Linked DNA regions of Xenopus tropicalis. The protein of the gene in region 3 purifies or fractionates together with the protein of the main gene of each other region. This does not show direct contact. Links are inferred from orthologs where the notes say so. Each region holds a gene or a part of one and is shown on either strand. Other genes may lie near its edges.

What was found.
Region 1: the proteins of morf4l1 (region 3) and actb purify together in Homo sapiens (affinity purification with mass spectrometry; 3 studies listed by BioGRID, with this or other methods). This does not show direct contact. The link is inferred for Xenopus tropicalis from reciprocal best matches to the Homo sapiens genes MORF4L1 and ACTB.
Region 2: the proteins of morf4l1 (region 3) and kdm5a purify together in Homo sapiens (affinity purification with mass spectrometry; 5 studies listed by BioGRID and IntAct, counting the BioPlex papers as one, with this or other methods). This does not show direct contact. The link is inferred for Xenopus tropicalis from reciprocal best matches to the Homo sapiens genes MORF4L1 and KDM5A.
Region 4: the proteins of morf4l1 (region 3) and gatad1 purify together in Homo sapiens (affinity purification with mass spectrometry; 7 studies listed by BioGRID and IntAct, counting the BioPlex papers as one, with this or other methods). This does not show direct contact. The link is inferred for Xenopus tropicalis from reciprocal best matches to the Homo sapiens genes MORF4L1 and GATAD1.
Region 5: the proteins of morf4l1 (region 3) and rbbp7 purify together in Homo sapiens (affinity purification with mass spectrometry; 5 studies listed by BioGRID and IntAct, counting the BioPlex papers as one, with this or other methods). This does not show direct contact. The link is inferred for Xenopus tropicalis from reciprocal best matches to the Homo sapiens genes MORF4L1 and RBBP7.

Annotation. Positions count from the first base shown.
Region 1 is NC_030685.2:46,572,736-46,577,039, reverse strand, and holds the start of actb (actin, cytoplasmic 1), read left to right. Parts: upstream 1-1,496; 5' UTR 1,497-1,522; intron 1,523-2,557; 5' UTR 2,558-2,563; coding exon 2,564-2,686; intron 2,687-3,675; coding exon 3,676-3,915; intron 3,916-4,290; coding exon 4,291-4,304. UniProt on the Homo sapiens protein: Actin is a highly conserved protein that polymerizes to produce filaments that form cross-linked networks in the cytoplasm of cells.
Region 2 is NC_030679.2:9,954,957-9,958,470, reverse strand, and holds part of kdm5a (lysine-specific demethylase 5A), read right to left. Parts: intron 3,089-3,514; coding exon 2,938-3,088; intron 2,285-2,937; coding exon 2,167-2,284; intron 1,500-2,166; coding exon 1,144-1,499; intron 1,031-1,143; coding exon 892-1,030; intron 1-891. UniProt on the Homo sapiens protein: Histone demethylase that specifically demethylates 'Lys-4' of histone H3, thereby playing a central role in histone code. Does not demethylate histone H3 'Lys-9', H3 'Lys-27', H3 'Lys-36', H3 'Lys-79' or H4 'Lys-20'.
Region 3 is NC_030679.2:118,088,489-118,092,002, forward strand, and holds part of morf4l1 (mortality factor 4-like protein 1), read right to left. Parts: intron 2,109-3,514; coding exon 2,062-2,108; intron 212-2,061; coding exon 144-211; intron 1-143. UniProt on the Homo sapiens protein: Component of the NuA4 histone acetyltransferase (HAT) complex which is involved in transcriptional activation of select genes principally by acetylation of nucleosomal histones H4 and H2A.
Region 4 is NC_030682.2:31,856,295-31,860,458, forward strand, and holds the start of gatad1 (GATA zinc finger domain-containing protein 1), read left to right. Parts: upstream 1-1,355; 5' UTR 1,356-1,483; intron 1,484-3,615; 5' UTR 3,616-3,655; intron 3,656-3,766; coding exon 3,767-4,015; intron 4,016-4,164. UniProt on the Homo sapiens protein: Component of some chromatin complex recruited to chromatin sites methylated 'Lys-4' of histone H3 (H3K4me), with a preference for trimethylated form (H3K4me3).
Region 5 is NC_030678.2:94,690,824-94,694,800, forward strand, and holds the start of rbbp7 (histone-binding protein RBBP7), read right to left. Parts: upstream 2,815-3,977; 5' UTR 2,720-2,814; coding exon 2,704-2,719; intron 807-2,703; coding exon 662-806; intron 1-661. UniProt on the Homo sapiens protein: Core histone-binding subunit that may target chromatin remodeling factors, histone acetyltransferases and histone deacetylases to their histone substrates in a manner that is regulated by nucleosomal DNA.

The DNA.
Region 1 (4,304 bases), on a different chromosome or scaffold from region 3:
TAACTCTTTTGCATGTCTGGCTAAGCAAAGACTATTTTTATACTGTTGCCAGAAGGTCAGAGCTGTAAGCAGCACTTTTTATGTTTTTATATTTATCTACTAATTTTGTTTTGTCACTTTAACTTTTTATTTCACGTTTGGAGCCAATCAGGTCTCCAGCTCTAACATCTGGCTATTAAGCTCTTTTACCCCTAGCTTTTGTGAAACCACAACTGTGAAGGGATCCTATCTAGCTGAGGTAAAGGACAGTCTATAGACCACTACAGTTGTAGGACTTTTGGCTTCAGGGTAGGGGATAAATAGGACTCCCCTAGACCTGATGAAGAGGGCCTAAGACACCTGCCCCTTCAGGCCTCCTCGCTGGGGGGGCATTCATTCTTTCCATTTTAAAGGAGGGTCTAAATTTGCTGACCCTTGCATTCTTTTGTTTTTTTTTTGCACCTGGGTGAAAAAGCATGTTCTTCAGGCTTCAAAAAACATATGAGTGAGATTGGCAGGGAAGGTCATAGTCATAGTAAACTTAGACTTTGCTGATAAACTTGGTCTTTGCTGATATGAGGGTTGGTTACTTGGGGAGCTCACATTCCAGTTACTGCATGGGGCTCCAAATGTTTTACTTTAGATTAGTTTAGATTTTTTTTCCTTACATACGTTGCATTTTATTCTCAGGGGGACGGATGATCTTCGACAGTATCAGCTTAACCAATAAATACGTTTATGAGTACCAGAGGTCATTGTAGAGCTGTAAACTGTAAAGTTAAATAACAAATGGTTGACCTGCATAGGAAATGGAAGTATGGACAAAGAGCAGTATCGCTGACTCAGAGCAGGGAAGGCGATTTAAAAGTGTTTATATAAGGAAATATGTGCTATAATGATACTTTTCTTTCCCTTACAACACAGCCATACATGAAGAAATAACTAGGCACTATCACAATATGCTGGCGCTAGAGACAAGAAGTGCAATCGAGTCACTGTATTCATGGATTGTACGCAACACAATGCAGTGCGTCACTGTAACGTTACAAAGCTTACTGTCTCGGCAGGCTGCAGAAATCCTAACGAACTGCATTTGGTCCTGACATTTCTGCAGACATAAACGTGCAGACTATCTGCTTTGCAAAGCCATGTTTTAAGAGAGTAAATCATTTCAGGCCAATAAAGAATATAAAAAGAAAGAGTTCTGCACCGCGCCCTTTATTATACAGCAATTAATGGAAAGGATAAGGCGTGGTATATCTAAGTGTAGATTTAATGAAACATATATATGTATATTGATATCTATGTATGTACGTATCTGTGTATATACGTATCCGCATCCTAGCTAGTAGGTGTAACTGCCTCACTCTACGCGCCCCCTTCGCCCGCAGTTCCTACAGCCAATCAGCTTCCCAGTTCCTGGAACGCTCCTTATATGGTGCAGCCGGCTGGGGCGCGCAGCATAAAACCGGCGCCCTAGCCCGACAACTGCTCAGTGACCCGCCCGCACAGAAACAGGACAGTGTGTGTGTCGTACTCTCAGGCAAGTAGCGCCGAGCCTGCTATTGTTGTGCTTTTCCTCTGCTATTTCCTGCTTCTATTCGCCTATTTTTCTCTATATATTATTAGAATAAGCATGATTTGGTTCTAATTGGCTATGTTTTTCATAATGTGCTTGAAATAGTTGGTAGCTTAATGTAGCGTTATTTACTTGAAGGTAAGACTTGTTAGTAGACAAGCGTGAAGCCTGGTTCTGGAATTGTGCTAAAGTTCAGTTCCTTATATGCTTAATTAGATCTTAATTGATAAAGGACACTGGAAGTTGTAGGTTGTACATACTGGAGAGCTGGGGAACCATTTTTCTGTTACAGCAGGTTTAACTTGTAAGTTGCATTTAAAAATAGGGTTTTGTTTTTTTTTTGTATCGTTTCCTCTTCTGTAAACTGAGCCCCCAATAGCAGCGCCGCTTGGGGATGTGCGATTGGGCGGTTCCCTGCCGATGTTAGTGTGAGGCTGCACACAAAGCTACATATTGTGTATAAGTGTGTGATGCAATCTGTGTCGGAACAGCCTTTTGCTGTCTAAAATATATTGGCGGTAGTTCTCTCCCGCTTCGGTTTAGACTTTCCATATGCATGTATATCCGTAACTAGAATACAAAAGCGCAAGTTACATCTTATATATTTATTTTGTCCTTGCACTGGTAAAAACGGAGTCACACCTGCAGTATGTGATTCTGTCCTGTAGTGTTGCCTTCATGAAACATTGGGAGTGGTAGTCGGTTGGTTCGATTGCCTAATACCAGCAGTGACTTGTTTCTTTGCCACACCTTCACTATCCATGGCTGGATGGGAGGGGTGCTTGTGTAAATCTTTGCTGTTGCCTTATTTGGTAATACAGAAAATAAATCGATTTCCCTTTGTCTAAATCTGTACAGAAATGGTGCAAACCCCTGCGCCCTCTTGTGACAGACCTTATGAAATGCAAGTAATGGGCAGGAAGCGTCCTTGTGGTATATACCAGCGCTCATAATTTGGGTGGATAATTATCTCAATTTTATTTATTTTTTAAATTTCAGATTACAATGGACGACGATATTGCTGCACTGGTCGTTGACAATGGTTCTGGTATGTGCAAAGCCGGCTTTGCAGGTGATGATGCACCCCGTGCTGTTTTCCCATCCATTGTTGGTCGCCCAAGACATCAGGTATGCCCTTTTCATGCCTTTTTCATTTCATGTCTAAATAAAACCTAGAAATAAAACTAGTAAAGCACCTCTAACAAATCAGTGTGTTGTCCCAAGGAGGTAAAACATTTTTTTTTTTTTTTTATGTATTTAACTGTTAAAGGTGAAACTAATCTGGGGGCAAATAAAACTGCAATTCTGCATGGGTTATAGGTATGTTGGTAACAATATATTTGCCATTGAGTGTTTTTAAACCATACACGTAAGGATAGTTTCCAAAAAGTGTTGCATAAGATGATGCAATTTTTTTTATTTTTTTTTTTTTTTTTACTCTTTCAAATAAACACTGCAGGCAGGAATAATCACATAAATAGCTGTGCCTAGGGCACCCCCCAACTCTTGTGCCCTAGGCTTGTGTCGGTTATTCCTTTAAGCTGGTTTTGGGCACTTCTCGGCAAGGCTGAAACTAGGAGTAGGCATATTTAAAATAAACTCTTTATACTGTCCACACAAACCCTGTTTATTGACTTATGCTGTGTAAGTGCTAAAGCCAGTTACATTTTCCAACCCTGCATGAAAAGAATTTCTTTTCAGAGTGTAATGTGGTTTAATTTAAATGGAAAAATATTTTAATTAAGTGCAGGTTAAGTGTGTGTATATAGATATTTAATATGATATATATATTGTACTTTGCACACTACATTTCCATATTCTTTGCAAATTGCCTACTTCTGTTTATTTGTGAAATACACAGGGGCGTGGTTAACATAGCAAATGTTCTTGCATACTCTTGTTTCCTGTAAGCACAAGATGACAGGAAGTATTACGAAATTAGAGGGCCCTGCCCAAAAGAGCTTTTACTCTAGAATTTCCTCTTAAAGTCTGCATTATGTGAGGTCCATGAAAATCCACTTTATTCATTCCATTGTCTGGCTAGTATTGAATTAAGGCATGCTTTTCATTTACTAAATTACTTAATTTAGTCCAAATTGTCTTACGCTTTATTTTAGGGTGTCATGGTTGGAATGGGACAGAAAGATAGCTACGTAGGAGACGAAGCTCAAAGCAAAAGAGGTATTCTTACACTCAAATATCCTATTGAGCATGGCATTGTCACTAACTGGGATGATATGGAGAAGATCTGGCATCATACCTTCTACAATGAACTCAGAGTGGCCCCAGAGGAACACCCAGTGCTGCTGACAGAAGCACCCTTGAATCCCAAAGCTAACCGGGAGAAAATGACGCAGGTATGTTACCTGTTTTCTGGTGTGAGGGTTTGGGTTGTGGGTTTTGTTTTGTGTTTTTTGTTTTTTAATTATATAATTGCTATTCCTTACAGGGCTGTCCTGGCCTCAAAGTTTACTGGAATCTCAAAGGTTTTTTTTCAGTATTTGCCTGTTTTACATCAAGGGTAGAATACTAACAATGTTAGCGTTGTGTGAAAAGTGCTGAATGATGGCTTGTTTTTCAAAGTTCACTTTGCTTGTGTTTTTCCTCACATTGGCCCTGCCTAAATTTGTGTTGTGTGCAGCAAAATCAAATGCTGTTCTGAAACTACACATGCATGAGTTTTGGATGCCTTTATGCAGGTAATGTGCTAATTGCCTTTTCAACCATTACAGATCATGTTTGAGAC
Region 2 (3,514 bases), about 110 Mb from region 3:
AAGAAGAGCTGTTCGTGTCAGGGGAAGGCTCTGAATGTCTTCTTCTGTTGCTTGATAAGATCCTTGTAGGGGTCTGATAAGATGGGTGCTGAGACATTGAGGGCCGTTAAAACAAGGAGAACAAAGGGAGAAGGATCTGTCTGATGGGACTACTCGTCGGAGGAACCCTCTGTGATTTGCTGACGTCATTTTGGCACCAAATTCAAACTTTGTTTATTTTCTTTGCCTAAGCTGGTTCTAATTTTCTAGATCATAGCTAAAGCCTTGTTTCATTTGCTATACTGATTTTTTTACTCTGTTTTTTTACACTGAATCTCCACTGCCTGCCTTTGACAATTGCCTGACACTGAGGTTGCCTCTGCCTGATCCTATTGGTACTGCGTTTTCGTATCAACCTTGGTAGTGTTTAGAATCCCTGTCTTCCCCCAGCAGAAAGTCCAGGGCCCCAAAAGGGCATCTGTGAAAACCAGGGTTGCCAGGGCTCTTCTACTTCACCTAAATGGTTTGTACTAGCAGTCTACGAGCTTCCTCATACTCCAGACCGTAACATTGAGCTGGCAAGGCTCCTCTCCAGAGCCTGTGAGTGCTTCTGTGACAGGGGGATCTGAGCCAAGGTCCCTGCTCCACTGTGTAGCCCCAGGGGTCTAAGCTACACCCCAGCCTGTAGACCAGAGGCAGGCTGTAGTATCAGCCAGTGTCCATCCCCCCATGGTCCCCCCTGCTCAGGAACCGAGGGAATGGAGCCAAAACTCCTGCCCCTGAGCGTGGGCTGTTAAAACATTTGACCTTTTGGTGTCCTTTCCTCCTGGAAAGATGTGTTAACTCTCCATTGCCTGTGCCCCCCTGAAATGATAATATTGTCAGAATAATGTGCACCATGTTTCTCTATACCTGAATGGCCTCCACTTTAGCTGTCCAATCTTTAGCCCTTTGCAGGGCTTCCTTAAGAGCAAGCACATTGGGCAGATATGCATGGATGTTCTTGGCTTCCACGATGATGCTCTCAATACCTCCCATACTGTGCTGTGGCCTGGAAGGGCAAACAAAAATAAAAATTGTTAAAAGAAAAATCTTGCAATTTAGAATAAAATCAGAAAACATTCCCCAAATGCAGTCTGGGAACAAGCACTTCTTGTCTCTTACCTGGCTTGCAGACATGTTTTGGCTTTCTCTTCCATCCTCTCCGATACTGTGAGCAGTTCCTGTAAGTCTGCCATTGCTTTCTCCACTGCGTGATGGGGTGCCAGACCCACTCCAGAGTCAATCAGTTTCTTCATCACATCCAAAGTAACCCTGTGAGGGTCTGACAAAGTCTGCCGCACCTCGTCAAGCCAACGGGCTTGCAGAAGTTCTTGCTTTAACCGTGGCAGTTCTGGAAGTTCTACATACAAGCTGGAGCCGAGGTCTATGAGAGCCTGAAGCTTGCTGGAGTCAGGGATATCGTCACGCATGGCTTCATGCGCGCGTTCATGAAACTCCTCCACGTCGTCAAGCAGGTTCTATGATTGGAAAAAGGAAACAAGAATGTACAATGTAGTATCAATGGCTCTTAAAGCTCTTACACTCAAAACTTTCTTTTATTTCTTATTCTAACAGCAACTCGGGACAAAGACAGCTCAGCAGTTATGATTACTCCTTTTCGGTTCCACCCCACTGCTTGGCACTTTGCAGCCAAAGCATTAATTTCAACATATATATACCCCCTATAACTGAGAATATGATTGTATGCCTCTTTGATAAAACTTGATGAACCACCAAATCATTTCTCAAAGAAAAGAAATGTGCCAGGGTATGGAATGGCTCTCAGGGGAGAAAACCAAAGAGAAAAAAAAACAAGGATATCCCCAGTGGTGGGAGCAATAACGGCACCCCACTTAGTATCTGTGTGCAGAAGAACAGCTGGCTGCATCGAAGGTAATTTTTTTTTTATAAACTGCTTTAAGGTGAAGGCCTCTGTTCTATGGACAATGCTCCATCATATAAGCAGGTTACAGATTTCATGATCCTATAAGGAATATGGTGCATGTTACTCTCTATGATCCCAAATACAAAGTATGCAACCTGCAGAGGCCACGTTTCACTGCTGTGGAACTGAGGATCTCTCTATAGCAAGCCCAGCCAGAAACACAAGAGAGCTTAAGCAGTGCTTATTTTTGTTTCACCCACCTTAACCTGTCGGGCCTGAGAGATAATGCAGGGCAGGCTGAACAGCTGATGCACAAAGGCTTTGAGCTCCTCCATGGTAAGTTTGGTGCGAGTCTTCCCATATTCTGGGTTTAATCTGCTGCAAAACAATAAACACTTAAGAGACTGCGACAGAACCTGCCCTGTTCCAAACAAACACATACAGAAGGACTGCAGCATTATTTAAATTGAAGAAATGTTAAAACATCATGACAACATATTAGGGCTGTTAAACATTTATAAATTCCATGGTAAGTGAGGAATTGTAAGACCAATGGGTCACGCTGACACCACCTGTCACTACTCAAAGGGGCAGTTTCGTCTGGCATCTCCATTTCTTAGCAAATGGGAAAAACAGAGGTTGTGCCATTAGTAGGGATGCACTGAAACCAGTTTTTCGGGTTCGGCCGAACCACCGAATCCACATTAAGGCATTCAACTGAACACCGAACCAAATCTGAATCCTACTTAGCATATGCTAGTTAGGATCTGGAAGGGTTAAATGTTAAAAAATTTACACTTCCATGTTTATGCGGCGACATATGCAGCATATGCTAATTAGGATTTGGTTCGGCCAAGACCGTGGCTTCGGCCAAATCCGAACCCTGAGATAAAGGCTGAATACCGAATCGAATCCTGGATTCGGTGCATCCCTAGCCATTAGCCTTTGGTATTTCCAGGTAAAGATTATAAGGAGCTGTTAAACTGATGCCCTGCCGGGGTACACTGCTATTCATGTGAAACAACTCATACTTGTGCTTTTGTTTTTTGGTGAGTAGCAACTGGGCAACAGATGCACAGGTTTCTGCCTCCTTAACGGCATCCCGGAGTTTGCGGTACAGATCGTTCTCTGGAAACTTCCTATCTTCCGCATCCTCCAGCATGACTTTCAACTCGATGACATCTATACAACATAAAAAAATAGGTGAGAGAAGAAATCTGGACACTGAACAAACTCTACAACATATGTTGTAAAAGGGAAGGCAATGGCTGATTCTGTACAACAGGTAACCCAAGGGACCTGAGATCACTCACTGTGGAATCTCATTGGGGAGAGGGGTCACACAATGAGGCCAGGATAGACTAGTACTGGTCACCTACCTTGACAAGTAGTAGTAAGAGATTAGGCACTGTTAAGGAAAGAGATCTAAAAAGCCCAAGAATTGGTCCAGGGCAAACCCCTGGAGCAGTCTCAATACTGGCCTGAGCAGTGGGAGAGTCCTGGGAAGAGCGCAGGAGAATAGCCCTGTCTAAATAGCAGGGGAACTGTGGATCATGTGGGAGAGCAGAGCACCGTGAAAGAGGTGGAGCACCTGTAATGTGCACAAGA
Region 3 (3,514 bases):
TTTTCATCTCTATGAGGGTTTATTCTAGCTATATGAAAGCCAGAACTATACAACGTTATCAGAATAATACTACCTTCAACTGAAGAATAGATATCTAATTAAGTCAATTAAAAATGAGAAATGTCAATCTACATATAACTTACTTCTTATTCCATCCGCTGTAGTGAATGAAGTACTTCACTTGTTTGTCCTTAATGGCAACTTTCACACACTAATATAAAAAGAAAGATCAAACTTTATCTAGTACTCAGAAATGCAAGCATATGACATGAGCTATGAGCAAAATAGTATGCCCATCCTGAAAAAAGGAGTATAGTATTTTCCCTATCTCAGCGGTTGTCAGACTGTTTGCATCTAGCCTTTGTTCTTTCAGGTGCATCCTAAAGAGCAAATGGGTATGCCCCAAAAATAGGCCTTCAGACACAGTCCCATCTGATGCTGTTCCATGCCCTCTCAGGAATAGACCTTACATTTTAGGAACCGCTGTTTGGGTAACATACACGGGACGATTCTAGCTGCCAGTATCGGTCCCTTAGACAGATTCGGCAGCTTATCAGCACGTGTTTGGACACTAACGACAGACCCGCCCGACCAACATCTGGCCTGAAATTGGGCAGATCTCGATCGGGCAGGTTTGAATATTAGTTGGATCGGGGCCCGCGACAGCTCGTTGATGCGGTCCCTGAACCGACGGACGTCTATACACATTGTTCTAAATTGATTACTTGCGACCTTGCCAAGCAAGTGGGTCTTGGCCTGTATGGCAACCATAACTTTTTTATAAATGAGATAAACTGCATACACACTTTACAAACATTTTCTGCAAACAGTCTCCTCAAGACAGCATTTTGCTTTGTTTGCCTTTGTTTGACTGAAAACCGCATCCAATTCTGTTAATTTAACAGCTACAGTCATGCCATTCAACAGTCTAACTTTTTCTATAACCTGCTTCCCATGTTTTAAAATAGGGCACCCAATGCATACCTGCTGTGAAACCCCTCTGGATACATATACATGTGCACAGGCTCAAGAATGCAGCCAATGCAATGCAGATGCCAAGACTTTGAGCTCAGCAGGAGACTTGAGCAGCCATTCCTAAACCTGCTGTGACTTCTCTACTGAGCCTGCTTGCCCCAGACCACCCAGAATATATACTTCTTGTCAGAGGAGGCAAGTACAGCAGGATTATACATCACAACAATTGATCTGTGGTAGACTAATCAAGTACAAACTTTATATATTCCAGCAATAAGGGCAACGGTGAAAATCGCTGTAATCTCTATTTCTTGTATCATAAGCCTGCAGTACAAAATCACATGAACAGCAGCCCTATAATTGAATTATCTTTCTGTTAAGAAACCAATTTAACCCTTCGAAGGACTGGGTTAGAAATGCATCTATAAAGTATTTTAGGCAGAGGGGGGTGAAAGCTCTACTCATAACATAACTTACTGTATTACTGTACTTTCTGTAATTTGGATCTCCATAACTTAAGTCTGTTAAAATGGAGTCTATGGGAGATGTCCTTTCTGTAATTCAGAACTTTCTGAATAACGGGTTTCTGGATAAGGGATCCCATACCTGTACTATGTAAGTAAATGATCCATGTTATCTCTACCCAGCTACATCATAAATGGGGGATGTAATTTACAGAGAATTGCTTTTCTGCATCCACAAATAAGAGCTCTACACCCTTATGGGTCATTATTGTACTCAGTAGATCAATGATGTTCTTATGTGAAGTTTAATTCATAGTAAAAAAAAACAAAAACCTCATATAGGGCAAAGGCACATAGGTTTTTAATTGTCCAGAGATCTGGTAGAAATTCATCTGAACCATAGACATGACAGGCTTTTCATAGACATAGGCTTGTCAGGCAATGGTAGCCTTAAAAATCTGTGCTGTCGGGCAATTTAGTATAGTGTTTCTAAGCTAAAGTACCCAAAATAGTCCCAGGTGTCATTGGCAAGAGGCCAACTTAAATTTTTAATCACCTTCCTTAACATTCATAAAGTTTAACAAAGAAATAATAGTGTGTTCATATTTAGTACAAAGCCTACCTTAGCTTCATAAAGCAGAGGACCATGAAAACACAAGACACGCTCACCTATGAGAAAAGACAAAATTTAATGCCAAGAGAAGTATATGTGCTAGATCACAAGAAACAAGCACACTCAAACCTGTTCCCTACGGATTTTGAGGCTGACTAATGTTATTAAATCTGCCTCATACAGCATATAAATCCCTGCATTGGCTGTTTGCCTCCCTCCATTTAGACAGAAAGTAATGAAATGCATTAATAAACGTTATTGTTATTTGTAGTGGATCAGGTGGACACTACGCAGTGCATAAAAATAAGCAGATAAGCTGTTTAGAGAGTCATGGTTTTGGTATTTTTCTATTTAGTCATCTTACCAGGGAACCCTTTTGCATAGCAACAAACATGCTCAGGAAAATTCTATACTGCACATCTAGCTAGGTGCAAGTGATCCCCTGGTAAATACAGATGCAATGGCAGCTTATAAATATAAAGATCCACCTCATTCTACATTGTGTAAGACGCCAGCCTGGGTGGAAAAATTCAGTGGGGGTTCCTAATATAATGGAATAATACCCTGCCATTAATTAGACTTTAGTTGTCTTTTAAAGCACAATACACTAAGCACTAACAATTGAAAAAAAAGACCTTGTTTATATGTGGTGAGTACATAAGCTAATTTCCTATTACTGCTCATTAAGGCTACAGTTACACAGAGCCCTTCTGTGTCTGCACTAACAGGGGCCACACGCAGCGGATATCGGTGCTGAAATAGGAGTATGCATTTTCATTTCTGAAATAAGCTCCGCGTGTCTGCACACAGGCAGACTCATCTCTTACAATGTAGCTTCCACCCACATACAGTGATGACGCAGTGACCTCTAGTGGCAAATTGCCTACTATGTTTCCTTATATAACTGCTTCTGAATAAAGGGGCTCTCAAACAAGGTGTAACTTTGTATTGCTTAAATAAGGGGGAAATGTATATTGCTTTCTAAATCCATAACAGTATTATTATTAAGAACTATATCGGTTACATAGGTTAGACGTGTGAACAGGACCTGGGCTTAGAAACAGAGCGTACATTTTTTTCCTGTATAATTGCTATTCTAAAACACAAGGATGTTAGAATTAAGGAGTTCCATATCCATATAAATGGCATGAGGCCGAAGTAAAAGTGCTTTTATATAGCTCATGACACTCTACAAAGATGGGGAGACATAATTTTTTTTTTCTAATAATACATAAGTTACAGTAAGTCACTGACAAGTTATTAAAGGGCACCTTAATAGGCGCTTAAGGGGTGACATGATAACTATGTATAAATATATAAGGGGATCATATAATAATCTCTCTAATGTTTTATTTACCAGTAGGTCCTTCCAACGGACACGAGGGCACCCACTCCGTTTAGAAGAAGGGAGGTTCCATTTAAACATTCGGAAAGGATTTTTTACTGCGAGAGCTGTGAAGTT
Region 4 (4,164 bases), on a different chromosome or scaffold from region 3:
GAACTGTATATAAAACAGTGTCCACACAAAGAATAGAGAAAGATTGTTTTATATCAAGAACCCAGTCCAATACTAAACAAAATCAGAACTCAGATGAGACAGGCAGCCAACAACTCTGTGACCCCCGGCTTCCTGCGCAGTGAAAAGACAGGAAACATTTGGTTCAGGTTCAGTTGGCTGAATATTGCCAGGAATCTCTGGCTTCATCCAATAAGGATTAACTATATCCTAGTTGGGATTAAGTACAGGTACTGTTTAACTATTACAGAGAAAAGGGAATCATTTAACCATTAAATAAACCCAATAGGACTGTTCTGTCCCCAATAAGGGGTAATTATATCTTAGTTGGGATCAAGTACAGGTACTGTTTTATTATTACAGAGAAAAGGGAAATCATTTAACCATTAAATAAACCCAATAGGGCTGTTCTGCCCCCAATAAGGGGTAATTATATCTTAGTTGGGAGCAAGTACAGGTACTGTTTTATTATTACAGAGAAAAGGGAAATCATTTAACCATTAAATAAACCCAATAGGGCTGTTCTGCCCCCAATAAGGGGTAATTATATCTTAGTTGGGATCAAGTACAGGTACTGTTTAACTATTAAAGAGAAAAGGGAATCATTTAACCATTAAATAAACCCAATAGGGCTGTTCTGCCCCCAATAAGGGGTAATTATATCTTAGTTGGGATCAAGTACAGGTACTGTTTTATTATTACAGAGAAAAGGGAATCATTTAACCATTAAATAAACCCAATAGGGCTGTTCTGCCCCCAATAAGGGGTAATTATATCTTAGTTGGGATCAAGTACAGGTACTGTTTTATTATTACAGAGAAAAGGGAATCATTTAAAAAAAATAGAATTATTTGCTTATAATGGAGTCTATGGGATATGGCCTTTCCGTAATTTGGAACTTTCTGGGTAACAGGTTTCTGGATAAAGGATCACAAGAACGCTTGGACAGGCCTCCTCTCGGCTTCCATTAGGTTTCTGTCAATAAAATGCACATCCCATTGGAGGGGACATATTTTCACTCACTCAGAGTTGATTGGCTCTACTATATATGTATGGCACATGGAGAAAGAAAGTGACTAACCGCAGGACAAACGGGAGCTGAAGTGAAAGTGCCACAGAGCCCCATGCTGGGTACACAGACACACCGATGCAGCCAGGCCCAGGCGGTATCAGCGCCATATAGAGAGATAATAGTGTCAGGCTCCCCTCCTGATAGCTTTCCCACAGTCCCACGGTTCGCCTACCTTAGTGACTAGGGTTAACGGAGAGTCCAACTCCCGGCGGAGGGTGGGCGCACTCATTTTGCGTAATGACGTGACGTCACAGTCTCGCAAGATGAGATTTGTGACGCCTGAATTAGCCGCTTGCGGAAGTGCGGGAGACTTTAAGGTGTTGCGGGATATTTAAACAGCGATCTGGCGGTGCGGGATGTGCGGGATGTGCTGAGGAGCCGGACTATTGGGCGGTAGGTCCCACACTGACTCCCTGTATGTGTTTCCCCAGCCGGTCTGTGTGCGGCCCCTTCCTTCTGCCTTTGTACCACATTGCTGTTGGGAATAACACACATGCCAAGGCTAAAGAACTAATCAGATAGTGCAAACATGCTGGGAAAGAAAGTGTGACGGCAGCAGAGAAGGGGGACAAATAGCAGAGTAGGAAGGTACTGAAAAGCAGAATGAAATAAAGTACAAAACAAGAGAAAACAAAAGAATGGGCGTGATGGAGATTAAAATGGTAATATAGAAATAGGGGAGAGAGAGGGTTAAATGAAGGGAAACTAATAGGTGGGATACAATTATTATATTAGCTTAAAGAGATAGGTAAGAAAGGAAACACAGCAGCAAGAGAAGTAGCAGGGCGGATGGGGAAATAGATGTGTCTGTGCTGTATCTGTGTATTACATGTGTGTTGGCCTGGGCTCTGGCTATCCTGGCAATGCAGGGGTTAAAAAACTAACAAAGAAGTGCAGAGAAAATACAGTGAAGATAAGTGGAAATAATAATTCAGGATTTATGGTAAACAAAGAGATGGTGGGACAATAAGGAAAGGTGGAGCAGAAGGTAAATGGGAAAGCAAAGTAAGGAGAATTGGGAAAGCAGCATAAGAATGAGAATACAAGTTTAGAATAATTCTGTAAAGAACAGAGACAATGGTTGTTCGGAGAGAAGGGTACATAAAAAAAGATGGCGGAGCATTAAAGCAAGTAGAGAAAGGCTCTCTGAGAATAAAGCTGGCCATACACGCACCGATACTAGCGTACGAAACCTCGTTTCGTACGATATTCGGTGCGTGTATGGCATGTCGGCGAGTCGACCGATATCACAGGAAGCTGCTGATATCGGTCGACTCGCCGATCGGCCAGGTTAGAAAATTTTGATCGGGCGCCATAGAAGGCGCCTGACCAAAATCTGCCATCAGGGCTGAATCGGCAGAAGGAGGTAGAAATCCTATTGTTTCTACCTCCTTATCTGCTGTTTCAGCCCTGACTGTGTGTGGCGAATCTGACGATGTTTCGTGCGACCGATGGTCGCACAAAACATCGTCAGATCGCCACGTGTATGGCCAGCTTAAGGCTGGAGACCGATGATAGAGAAAAGAAGAGAGTAAAATTCTGGAATAGCAATAAAATTGTTAGAGAAGAACACAAATTTACATATGGAAAAGGTGAAGGGAAAAGCAGGACAGAAACAAAGAAAAAGTAAAGAAAATGTTGGATGTGGGTGAGGTTTTTAAGGAGAAGGAAAGGTAAAAACTAAGTAAGCTTTATTAGAAAGGTCTATGTAAATACAGCCATAAGCACTCACAGAAACGCTGCACTGAGTTCTCTGTCAAAAGATTCGTTGTGTCTGTTTTCCTGTGCCAGAGACACGCAGCTCTTTGCTTTCTGCTCATTCCTTCTCCACCCCTCCCTCAAGAATGCTAAGAACTCACTCCCCCCCTTAGGAATGTGGATCTGAGCCAATCAGCAGGAAGCTGACTCATAGTCTTACTAACTGAGCATGTTCACTTGGTCTGGGTGTCGGTGCAGGAGCACGGCATTATGGGAACTTTCATCTGAACGGGAGAAATATGGGAAGACTTAAGGACACTATTGACTTATGGGCCCTCGCTGTCTTATGAAGTTGTGTAGTACTGCTTTACTGGCGCATTGGTTTTCCAGAAAACTGCCCCTACATACCAGTGAGCTGTTTAGTATCTTCTGCTATCATTTCTGTAGGGGTATGTGATGGGGTTTTTGAGTGATATTTTGGTGATATTCTGAGACAATTTATGCACTTTTTTTCAGCAGCTATCTAGTTTGGAAGTTTATCAGCCATCTGGTTGCTAGGGTACAATTTTACCAGGCAGTGGTTTGAACAAAAGACTCGAAGATGAATAGGGGAGGGCCTGAAAAGAATGATAGATAATAAAAATGAACACATTTGTAGCCTTACAGAGCAATAGAAATTAAGGAAAGGCAAATAACAAAAACTACAAAAATGAACACCAAATAAAAGGTTACATACTGAAAGCAGACTTAAAGTGAACCACCTAACCAATTTTTTTTGTGTGTGTATTTGTGTTTTTATGTAAATAACTGTTTTTCATATCTTGCAGATAATTGGCAAATGAAAGGCCACAGCAAAATTATATCACGGTTAGTAATATCATTTTAATAGTTTGATAACCAATTTCCCATGTTGTTTGATTTTCTAAGCACACCAAGAGAGCTGTGTAATGGCTTATGCCATTCCCTTTTGTGATTCAGATGCCGCTGGGATTAAAGCCAACATGCAGCATGTGCAAAACCAACACATCTTCCATGTGGAAGAAGGGAAACCAGGGGGAGATCCTGTGTAATAACTGCAGTGGCAAGAGCAGCAGCAGCAGCAGCGGTGGTGGAAACAACAACAACAGCGGCGGTGGTGGAAGTACCAGTGGTAGCAGCTCTTATACTGGCACAAACTTTGCAAGTGCATCCACGTCCCAGCAGAGTAATGGTGGGAACACTAAGCAGGTACTGGTGCAATTGGAATTTACTTAGTAATGATTAGTTGTTACAGTTCTACAGTTTGCCAGCAGTTTTTGGTTTTGGGTTTTTTTGTTTTTTTTTGTGGGGGGGGGTTCATACTGGTTATTAAAGGCATATATTATAGTAATAGTATC
Region 5 (3,977 bases), on a different chromosome or scaffold from region 3:
CTGCTTATTTTGTAGCAAATTTAGTACTGGAATTAAGATATAAGTATTGTGGTACGGATACTGTTCACTTAATAAATATGTGCAAATGTAATTTGCTTCTTGTTGCGCTTTGTATACAGTATACACAGTACACATAGACAAGATGAAAAATGTTAATACAATTAAGCCCCTAAAAATTTAATGTTAGATATTTGGCCCACTTTGCTGAAAATAAGCACTGATCTAGAAAATAAAATTTAAAGGCAGCGGCAATCTGTTAAGTATGATATAGATTTTTTAATCTTAGATACTACCCACAGCTCCTTAGGTAATTTAATAATGTTGAAATCCAAAAAAATAGGAAAAAAGCTTCAGCAGGATAAAGGGTATTGACCCGAAACATGTCGTGTTACCACAACCCAAAATAACTGGTTTGCAGTAAACCTGCTGAAGTTTTTTTCCTATTTTTTGCATTTCTACAATTGTATTTGGTTGCAGCACAGAGCAACAACTAGGAACTAAAGTTTTTTTTCACAAGTATTTTATACAAAGTTCATCAATCATTTTTTATTTTCAATTTACTTATGTTGTATTTAAAATGCAATAGGTGTTAACCATGCTTTAAATATCATGTAAAACAACTAAAATTTGCTATTAAATGAATTTAAAAATAAAAAATCACCTAGTCACATCCGGGAGCCACTGAACTGTTAGACTTGGCCATTCAAGTGCATGGGTCATAACCAGGTCATACAGAAATGGGGTATTTTTTTTCCATATCTTATACTCTTCATTGATGACACGTTCTTCCACTGTATCTTCAAACACTAGAGAGAAAAAAAAATTATAAAATGTTTCAGAATAGAATGCATTACTGTTTGAATTCAGTAAAAACCATTAAATTGCTTAGTCAGGTCAAACAGACGTACAAAAACTTGGCTGTTAACAAACCTCTCAGCACTGATTGCTTGTAAACATTTACATGCTGCATAAGGTGTGCATGTATAACTAGGCAGCCAATGTATTGTTGTTGAACCAGAGTTGCTTCAATGTAAACATCAGATAATTTATTAAGTAAACTTAATCCAACATCATTTGAGTGACATATTTTCCCCACTGTGCTCTACCAGAAATAAGAACTACACAGCATAGTATAGTAAGTTGGGTTGAAAAAAGACATACGTCCATCACGTTCAACCATAATGCCTATATATAACCTGCCAAACTACTAGCTGATCCAGAGGAAGGCAAAAAAACCCCATCTGAAGCCTCTCTGAATACACAGACGGAACAGCTACACCAAGTGGAGTAGGTGGCACCGGTGATTAACTAGCATGGTTGGAAGAAAGCAGCATTGGTTTGCTGGGCAGACCCAGATCTATAGGATGCACCATAACATCAGTCAGTGCCCATATAGCCAGTGTCCAGCAAGACACACCGCAAGTTCATTATCCCTTTAACAAAAAGATAAAGTGATTATTGGAACACTTATCACAACATTCATCAGTATCAGCTGGCATTTATCTACCTGTACTGTAACCATAGGAGAACCCTGTACAGGTATGGGATCTATTATTATTAACACTTATTTATAAAGCGCCAACATATTCTGCAGCACTGTACAATAAGTGGGTTTCATACATTGGACATACAGAGTAACATATAAAGCAATAAATAACCAATACAAGAGGTGAAGAGAGCATAATAATAATATAATTATTCCTTATTGGATGCAAGACAATCCTATTGGGATTATTTAATATTTTACTGATTGTTTTAGTAGACAAAGTATGGAGATCCAAAATACTTAAAGATCCTTTATCCAGAATACCCTTGGTACCAAGCATTTTGGATAACTGTACTGTGTTCTCTATTTTGAGATGCTGATCATCTGACACTAGCCCAAGCCCTGTGCATGTTTAACAGTTATGGGCCCTCAAGGAAGAGCCACAGCACCTCAAAAACCTATCTGCCTGCTTATGAGGCACACTTGCCCCTGTAGGCGCAGAAACTTCTACAACTTCAGGCACAAGGAACACATTTCTAATGATTCCATACAAAAAAAAAACTTGCCCGATACCTTACTCATTAGTAAATCACTCAAAAGAACAGGAGGATTTAATGTAAGGAAATGTTTAAAGATGGAATAGGTGTGTGCAGCCTGTGAAGAATTCTACCAGTTTCACCAGACACCAGACAAGCGTATCTGATGCCGTCTGGCCTGTCAGACCAAAGTTACACATGCCATACATTTATTGTGGTGCAAGTAAGAAAGCTCTGGTTCTGTTTCCCAAGAAAGATCAGTCCAACTTTACACAAGGCAATACCTACATTTCTAAATGTGTTTTAACTTAAAATTCTCATCACTTTGTCGATCCCCCATCTTACATTTTTTAATACTGCCTGGCAACTGGCTTGTAGTGGAACTAAATGTAGCGACTTACAGTGCCAAACTATAAACTCCCTCTTCTAATTGAGGGCCCAGAGCCTTACAGGCCAGCAATAGGGACCGTAGCCAGCAAGCCTACGCGGTAGGATAAGGCCTAAGAGAATCCGGTATGCCTCCCATACACACCACAAGCGGTGCAGTAAACAAAGCGGCCACAGCTTCTTAATATAAAACTGTGTCATAATCGGTAGCACCCGGATAGCATGCCTGCATCCCCAGTACCGTCCCTTTAGAAACCCAAAACGTGCTCATAAAGCAGCTTTCTGCCCACTTACTCTCTTTATTCGCCATCTTCTCTACTCCTGTGCAGATGCAAGGGCCGCCGGCCTCGCGGTGACTAAAAACCCAGTGTTCCGCGCTTGTGCCGGTCCTGCTGCAGCTTCCCGCGCCAAACACTCACAAGAAGAAGAAAGACTACCAGTGACGCAGCATCAACATCCCCCGCCAAAGTTACAGACAGGCACGCCGCCGCCGTCGCCTTCGCTTACGCAAGGGCTAGCGCCAAACGCTAGGACAAGGCTGACCAATCAGAGGAAAATAACCTGGTTACGTAAAAGGAGGCGGGGAGGCCGAAAGTTTCGCGGCCATGTTTAATTTTGGCATGGCGTAAAGTAGTAGCGTGTTTTTTTTTCCTAATGTGCGGAGTGAATTGTAATAATTTTAGGTAGTTATTCTGTAGGAAGTATGAACCTATTATACCGATAACATTTGTTTTAAGTAGGAACCTTCCCGTTCTCAAGCAGTGGAGCAGCATTCATTAGGGAAATGTAGAAGATAGAGTTTTCAAAAGCTTGAGCCGAAGGGATGCGGGAGCTTCGTGATCGTTAGAATTGCTATCTTCCACTATCAGAACGAAATGTATTCAGTGCCGCAGACCTCGGGGTTTAACAGCTTAGCCTACAAAATTGGCAGTGGATAGGGTTGCGATTAATAGGAAAGAGGAAAACTCAATTGGTGTTGTGTTCTGGAAAACGTAGATATAGCAGGATAGCCTGGATGGGCTAGGGTGCAAATCTCTTCTGGAAGTAAAAGCCCACCTTCGTAATGCTTGTTTTAAATGTCATTTTTTACTGGTTTGCTACCCTAAGCATACCTCCCAACATTTGAAAAATGAAAAGAGGGACAAAAAGACTTGGAGGCAATTTTGACCCCGCCCATTTTTGTTGCCACGCCCCAATTACCACACCCCATTTTAAAAAGAAATACTCCTTTTATATAGATGAAATGGTGGGATCAGACGCAAATGTGCTATACCCTCATACTGTACTACCTAAGGAAAACAATATAGCAACTCCAACATTAAAATACAAATATAGAGAGAAGGCAATCAGTTATAAGTGAGTTATAACTATGTAGCAGTTTTGCTTCCCCATACACAGGTGTCCCCCGTACACAGTAGCTCCCTCATACACAGTCCCTCCATACACAGTAGCCCCCCATAAACAGTGCCCCCTATACACAGTAGCCCCCCCATACACAGTAACCCCCCATAAAGAGTGCCCCCGTACACAGCAGCCCCCCATACACAGCAGCCCCCCCATACACAGTA